Saccharomyces cerevisiae S288C: one gene and its partner. The protein of the gene in region 2 purifies or fractionates together with the protein of the main gene of each other region. This does not show direct contact. Each region holds a gene or a part of one and is shown on either strand. Other genes may lie near its edges. The genes, in order: NFU1 and ACO2.

What was found.
Region 1: the proteins of ACO2 (region 2) and NFU1 purify together in Saccharomyces cerevisiae (affinity purification with mass spectrometry; 3 studies listed by BioGRID, with this or other methods). This does not show direct contact.

What each region holds. Positions count from the first base shown.
Region 1 is NC_001143.9:360,558-363,696, forward strand, and holds NFU1 (Nfu1p), read right to left. Parts: upstream 1,272-3,139; coding exon 501-1,271; downstream 1-500. Other genes in the region: ESCRT-III subunit protein VPS24, read left to right, coding at 1-260; PTM1 (Ptm1p), read left to right, coding at 2,065-3,139. UniProt on the Saccharomyces cerevisiae protein: Involved in iron homeostasis within the mitochondrion where it is involved in the assembly of iron-sulfur proteins.
Region 2 is NC_001142.9:55,687-60,519, forward strand, and holds ACO2 (aconitate hydratase ACO2), read right to left. Parts: upstream 3,128-4,833; coding exon 758-3,127; downstream 1-757. Other genes in the region: ECM25 (Ecm25p), read left to right, coding at 1-492; MBB1 (Mbb1p), read right to left, coding at 4,170-4,496. UniProt on the Saccharomyces cerevisiae protein: Catalyzes the reversible dehydration of (R)-homocitrate to cis-homoaconitate, a step in the alpha-aminoadipate pathway for lysine biosynthesis.

The DNA of each region.
Region 1 (3,139 bases), on a different chromosome or scaffold from region 2:
GGATTATAAGTGAAATGGTGGATGATACCATGGAGAGTGTTGGGGACGTAGGGGAAGAGATGGACGAAGCTGTTGATGAAGAAGTTAATAAGATAGTTGAACAATACACAAACGAGAAATTCAAGAATGTTGACCAAGTGCCAACCGTAGAATTAGCAGCCAATGAAGAAGAGCAAGAAATTCCGGATGAAAAAGTTGATGAGGAAGCAGATAGGATGGTAAATGAAATGCGTGAAAGGCTGAGAGCTTTGCAAAACTAGAGTGTTACTGTGACTGTACAAAGAAAATAAATAAATAAGTGAATAAATAATGGTACGAATAACACAGTAAAAAGGGCACCCGTTTTTAGTGTATGGAAAAAGTTGAGTGCTTTACCCTTTTTCCATGATGACCGTTGAAACATGTACGGACTATCAAGTAATAGTGAGGGTAAAGACAGTATATACACACTTCCTTTTATTTTCGTCTCATCTTGTATTTTCATTTGAAGGACGGAATATTTACTTTTCATGGCTTGTATTTTTACTCGATTCCAACTTTTTTTCAAGCTTATCAAATTCCTTTAATGCTATTTCTTGCTCAGGATCCATGATCTGAATCACTTCTTTCACTTCATCCACATAGTGCTTCAACATGGACTCAATACCGTACTTCAAAGTCACTTCACTAGAAGAGCATGAGGTACATGCACCTTGTAATCTTAAATAAACGGTTCCAGTCTTTGGATCCCACCCACGGTAATCGATATCACCGCCGTCCTCCAAGATGGCTGGTCTTATTCTTGTATCTATCAGCTCTTCAATCAATTCGCTGACCTCTTCATCTTCTTCGGTAAGTTCAAATTTGGGCATATTTATTTTGTAGCCACCTTCTCCTTCTTCTTCTTGGACAGCATGGAATTCTTTGGATATAACATCTTCACCGTAAGCAAGTTGCTTGGTTAACAAATCTATAATTTCAGGCTTGATACTATTCCAATGGACCATTCTGTCTTTATTAATAGTGAGAAAATCATCACCTATCATTAAAGACTCCACTCCTGGACACTGCAAAAAAATTTGCTGTGCTAACTTGGAATGGTTGATGAGGTTTTCATCAGTGTTCTTAATAACTATACTCTTGGAGCCACGCGTCTGTAGCATCTCGCCATCTGTGGAGAGAAATTTTAAAGCATTTTCATTTGGAGTTGTTAAAGTCTTAATATGAATTAATCTCTGAGAATTTAAGTAAAAAATCGGAGACTTCCCCAATTTAGCCACTGATTTGAACATTGTTAGTCAATTTCTTGCTTTTTTGCTTAGATTACGCTGAGAATGCCTTATGTATTCTAATTAGTCCGCTAAATACGCTTCTTTTTATAATGATTAATAAGCAATATTGTAAGTAGATCACTGAAATTCGGAAAACTTAAATTATTTATCACTTGATACGTTAGAAGGCTATTTCTACAATCACCAGGACTCCGCTAAGTGGTCCTATAGATTTGATGAAATGCCTGCTTTGACGGTCTTGATGATACAAGCTAACGCTTAGCATGTTACTATACTCAATGTACATTGTTTTATCCTCAAGAGACCGCAGACGTTTCAATTTTGTGTTTAAAAGAACAATGGACAGTATATACGTAGTGCCAATTTTCTTCTATGGTGTATTATGCGCATTGAACATTGTAATATCCGTAATGTTGAACATAATTTGGGAATTGCTTCCGAATCTTCAACCTTCATGTATACCTCTTTTCGGCTAGAGTGTGGTACTTTAATTACTGCTTAGTTGTTTTGCCCGATTTAGATATTGCACCCGTGCACGTCACACATAAGCTTGGTCTTTTAAATAGTGTGTGAAAAAACGAACTTGAAGAAAAAGATAGAGCAAGATATATATAGGAGTAGGAATAGGGAGAGTGGAAAAAAAAACTTAGCCTCAAACTAATAGTCAAGAGGATCAACTATTCTGTTCAGGTTTTGCAGGTTAAAAATTGAAATAGAATATTTTCTCGGTAATTTCAAGAAACAGCTGGTAAAAAGGCAGTAAATTTACAGAAACTAAGAGTGTAAGGGCACAATGAGAGTATATCAGTTTTGCCGACCTTTCCAATTATTCACCTGCTTCTTATGCTACCTTCTAGTGTTCGTAAAAGCTAACAAGGAAAAGATAAGTCAAAAGAATTATCAAGTATGCGCAGGTATGTATTCCAAAGAAGATTGGAAGGGCAAAATAGACCCGTTTATATCATTCAATCTTAAAAAAATAAGTGGATTGAGTGATGAGTCTGATCCAGGCTTAGTCGTTGCAATCTATGATTTCCAAGACTTTGAGCACTTAGGTGTGCAATTGCCGGATGAAGAAATGTATTATATTTGTGATGATTATGCAATTGATATCGGGATTTGTGAAGAGGAGAATCGTGATGAGTTTATTGTTCAAGATGTTGTATATGATCCATATACTTCCACAAATAGATCTTTGGCCAATCCAATCATGACGTTTTCTCAAAATGAGGTCGGCCTTCATGATACTAGATACCCAATAAAAGAAACCGGATTTTATTGTGTTACTGCGTTCAGATCATCGACGTCTACCAAGTTCAACGCTGTGGTGAATTTCAGGAATGCTTATGGTCAGCTTGCGGGCACCGAGATCAACAAATTGCCACTATATGGTCTTTTGGCGGTCGCATACGTTGTGGCGATGGCGTTATATTCCTTCGCCTTCTGGAAGCACAAGCATGAATTGTTACCATTACAAAAGTATTTGCTGGCCTTTTTTGTATTTTTAACCGCAGAAACCATATTTGTATGGGCTTACTATGATTTGAAAAATGAAAAAGGTGATACTGCGGGAATAAAAGTTTATATGGTGTTCTTGTCGATATTGACGGCTGGTAAAGTTACATTTTCATTTTTCCTATTATTGATTATCGCTTTGGGCTACGGTATCGTGTACCCTAAGTTGAATAAAACGTTGATGAGGCGTTGCCAAATGTATGGTGCGTTAACTTATGCAATTTGCATTGGATTTTTGATCCAAAGTTATTTGACCGACATGGAGGCACCATCTCCACTAATCTTGATCACCTTGATTCCTATGGCGCTTGCATTAATCATATTTTACTACATGATTATTAGATCCATGACAA
Region 2 (4,833 bases):
CCATCATTCAATGCCAAACCTCCACTTCCTATTAAGGCAGTTACACGACCACAACTGTCTCTAACTTCCAATTCTAATACAGATTTGGCATTAGCTTCTTCTTCTACAGATACATTATCCTCACCGACGAAGACTCCATCAGCAGACTCGCTTCCATTGAGTAACAGCAGCACCGATTTAACGATATCAGATAATATCAAAGAAATGGTTAAGGACGAGCCAGCAAAGGATAAAAATTCTGTGGAAACAGATATATTCGTACAACAGTTTGAAAGTTTAACCCTCGTCCAAAACGCGAAGATTAAGAAGTTCGACAAAGAACTACAAGAAAAGAAGAAGAAAAATGAAACTACTTCAAAGACAGCAGATAAATTCTCTCAAAAGGGATATTCAGATATTAAAGCAAGCAACAAGGTTAGCAGGCTAGCTGCATTGTACGAAGAACGTTTACAAGGTTTACAAGTAATGAATGAAATGAAACAAAGGTGGTAACTTACATAATTGTATCTTTTTAACACATACATATTGCATATACGACAACAAAATACCCCCCACCCTTGAGTTAAGCCGTAGTTGAAGCAGTCGAGATCTCGTGTATAATATTATATATCAAACAATATTACGTTTTTTATAGTAAATAAATAAATAAATAGGTAGGTTATTTGCACCGTCTATATGCAGAGTCTATAGAATTGTGTAAACTAGCTTATGACTATTAAATCGGACTCTTAATTTTTAGCTAATATCTCTTCAGAATTTATTCGTTTCTTCGTATATTACCAATATAATTGATTGCTGAACCAGCTTTGAAAAAATCGATTTGATCTTTAGACATAGTATGTTTTGCCTTGATGGTGAACGATTCACCGTTTGGTTTAGTAATTTTAACATCAATTTCACCACCGTTATTACCATCCTTAGCAATCATGTCAACTAGGTTCAACGTTTCTAAAACATCTCCGCTTGATATTTTATCATAGTCAGATTCGTTGGCAAAAGTCAATGGCAACACACCTTGTTTCTTCAAGTTTGTCTCATGAATTCTTGCAAAAGACTTAACTAAAAGAATCTCTCCGCCTAAAAATCTTGGTGACAAAGCAGCATGCTCTCTTGCGGAACCTTCACCATAGTTATGTTCCGCTATCACGGTCCATGGTCTACCGTCTGATTTCCATTTCATCATCAAACCAGGAATATCATATTCAGTTCCGTCAAGGTCATAAGCCTTGTTGACTTCACCGGTTTCTTTGTTTTGTGCACCAATCAATGTATTGTAAGAAATGTTTTCTAGATGGCCTTTATATTTCAACCAGACGCCCGCAGCGGAAATATGATCTGTTGTACATTTACCTTCAACTTTCAAAAGCACGTTTGTCTTCAATTCCTTCCCGTTCCAAGGTTTGAATGGCTCTAATAATTGCAAACGATCAGAATTAGGGTCTACCTTAATCTCTACATTGCTATCTGGCTTTGGATCCATTTCAGGATAAAATTTGTCTCTACCGTGTTCAAATCCTCTTTTTGGTAACTCATCACCCTTTGGTGGTTGGAATTTGAAATCCTTCCCATTTGGCAATTTAATTGAGTCAGTTAGCGGATTGAACTGAGCATCTCCAGAATAACTCATCGCTGTTACTATTTCTGGGGATGTTAAGAAATTCATTGTATTCCTATTACCATCGTTTCTAGCTCTGAAATTTCTATTGAATGATGTAAAAATAGTGTTCGTTTCTTTTGATGTTTTCGAGACATCTTCCCTATTCCATTGTCCGATACAAGGGCCGCATGCATTTGCTAAAACTTTGGCACCATTTTCTTGGAAAATATCGATGATTCCATCTCTTTCCAAGGTAGCTCTAATTTGTTCTGAACCAGGGGTGACAAAGAAGGGGATACGTGGTTTCAAGCCGGCTTTGGAAGCTTGCTTGACCAAGTCGACAACACGACTCATGTCTTGATAAGATGAATTGGTACATGATCCAATCAAACCAGCGCTAACTTTTTGGGGCCAGTTTTCCTTCAAACTTTTTTCGGCATATTGAGATATTGGGGTTGAAAGGTCTGGTGTAAATGGACCATTAACGTGAGGTTCAATTGCGGATAAGTCAATTTCAATAACTTTATCGTATTGAGCATCTTTGTCGGCTCTTAAGAAGTTAAACTTGTTTAAAGCAACATCAGCTGCTTCAGCGACCTCTGCTCTATTAGTTGCTTGCAAATAACGCTTGTGAGCTTCTTGGTAAGGGAAAGTTGACGTTGTAGCACCGATTTCAGCTCCCATATTACAGATGGTTGCCATACCTGTGCAAGATAGAGTGGATACACCTTCGCCGAAGTACTCGACGATATAACCAGTACCACCTCTGACAGTTAGTAAACCAGCGAGCTTTGTGATTACATCTTTAGGAGTGGACCATCCGTTTAACTTTCCGGTCAATTTAACACCTAAAATTTTTGGTGCTTTTAATTCCCATGGAGTGCCTGTGAGGGCATCAACTGCATCCGCACCACCAACCCCGATGGCAATAGCTCCCAGACCGCCTGCATTTGGTGTATGGGAATCAGTACCTAGCATCATTAGACCTGGAGCTGAGAAATTTTCCAAAACAATCTGGTGAATGATACCAGAACCTGGGCCCCAGAATTGAATTCCATATCTCTTTGCGCAACTCTCCAAGAAATCGAAAACTTCTTGGTTGGTAGCTATGGAAGAGGGTAAATCTTTAGTTTCACCGTCCTTACCTACAATTAAATGATCACAATGTATGGATGCTGGGACAGATGTTTGATTTAGACCGGTGGTCATGAATTGTAGAAGCGCCATTTGGGCAGAAGCGTCCTGCATAGCTACACGGTCTGGGTTTAGCTTCAAGTATTTATTACCACGGATGGTGGACAGATCAGAAGAAGTAATCGATTCTTCAGGATCGCAAAGATGCGAGTATAAAATTTTTTCTGCTAGTGTCAATGGAGCATTGTTTGTTATTTGTTTAATCTTGTCTAGGTTGGTCAAAAGTTTTGCATAAGGTGGCACTTTTGTTTGAAAATTTTTAGATACAGAGGGGAACATATTGGCATGTGTTGCCAAATGCCTCTTTATATAAAACCTATTAGCTGAAGATAGCATCGAATCTCTTGCTTATTGCTCTTAGAGTTTTATGTTTAAAGAAAGTCGAAAATTCTTATTTTTGCAAGTGCGCAAATCGAATAATACGAAAAGATGAAAATATTTTAGTTTATATACATGTTTGATGCCATACCATCTATTGACATAATCTACGATGTGAGAGCTGTATGATATTGTGGAACTTTGTATATATTGAAAAAATTTTCCAGTGGAATTTTACTCGCGATGACTCAAGAGCGTGAAAAAAAAAAAAAAAAAAAAATTAATTGCTAAAAAATCAAATATATGCTTCCAATCGGATTTGAACCGATGATCTCCACATTACTAGTGTGGCGCCTTACCAACTTGGCCATAGAAGCTTCTATTTTATATTTGCCTGACCTATTTTAACGGTTATATTCCACAAACATTTTAATCATGAAGCAATTTTTTTGATGTTGATGTGAGAGTAATAAGCACTGTGCTGAGAAGAGGATCAACAACATGATATTCTACGGAACGTAAAGGATACAATGTTATTGGACTAAGAATCGTCTATCATCTTAAGAAATGGGTGGATGATCGGACAATTATTGAGAAGGTTTCATTGTGGAGAACAAATCGCAATATTGTGCAATCCTTTAGATATGTCAAGATAAAATACTAGGGAGGCTTCGCCCATTCATTAAAGAGTATAGCTACCGCATACTGTTTAGTAGTATACTATCACATGTGGTGTAAAAAGATAACATAAAGATTGAGAATCAGTCATCAAATGTAATGGAAGCTGAAAATGCAAGGATTGATAGTGTAATAGGAACGAAACATATGAAAACGGAATGAGGAATAGTCGTATTATTAGTATGTATAGATTCCATTTGAGAATTCTTATATCCTCGAGGGGAACTTCTAGTATATTCTGTATACATAATATTGTAGCCTCTATCAACAACGGAATCCCAACAATTATCTCAAAACTCACTTATATCTCACAAAACACTCAATAGCGACCCTTAAATGTTACTGAACCTCATATTGTTTCGCTCTGCTCCCTTATATATTGTTAATGCAATCGGGACAGCTCACTGACTGAACGGTGAATAGTGGCTCCCGGAAAGCTGAGAGTTGTGAACTCGCCACCTCTGTTAAGTAAGTCGTAAGCTGTTAAAGCTGCGTCACGAGTAATGAGCTGCCAGTTCGGCCTCTGATCGCTGTACTTTATGGTAAAAAGATAGTTCCTAGTAGAAGACGAGTCATACTCGTAAACAAGCACCGCTGGATACTCTTCTCTATCAAGACGTAAAGCGTACTTGTAATCTCTAAGTTCGCCAATCCAAATTTCTGATATGCCACTCATTATCCTCACCCCACATGCTGACACCTTATACATTCAATATCTCCCTTCTCCTACTTAACCTTATGTTACCCTTTTTTTTTGGCTTGCATTTATATTTGGTTTACATAGCAACAACCGATAGCGGGTAACAGCATTAAGCTTCCCATCTCCCGTTCACTGTTATTACCTTTGGCACGTAAAGGGCCGGCTAATAATGTCGTATTTCCACTGATTTGGATGTATGTTGCATGGTGCTAGATTGTGAATAAATCATTTCCACTGGTTTCTAGCAGAGGTAAGAAAATCAGTAGTAGCGGCAGCAGCCAAGAAAAATGGCAGCCTGGCAAGCAGCGAAGGCCATCTGTGCTGCATTTCCACACTCCTTGTATGA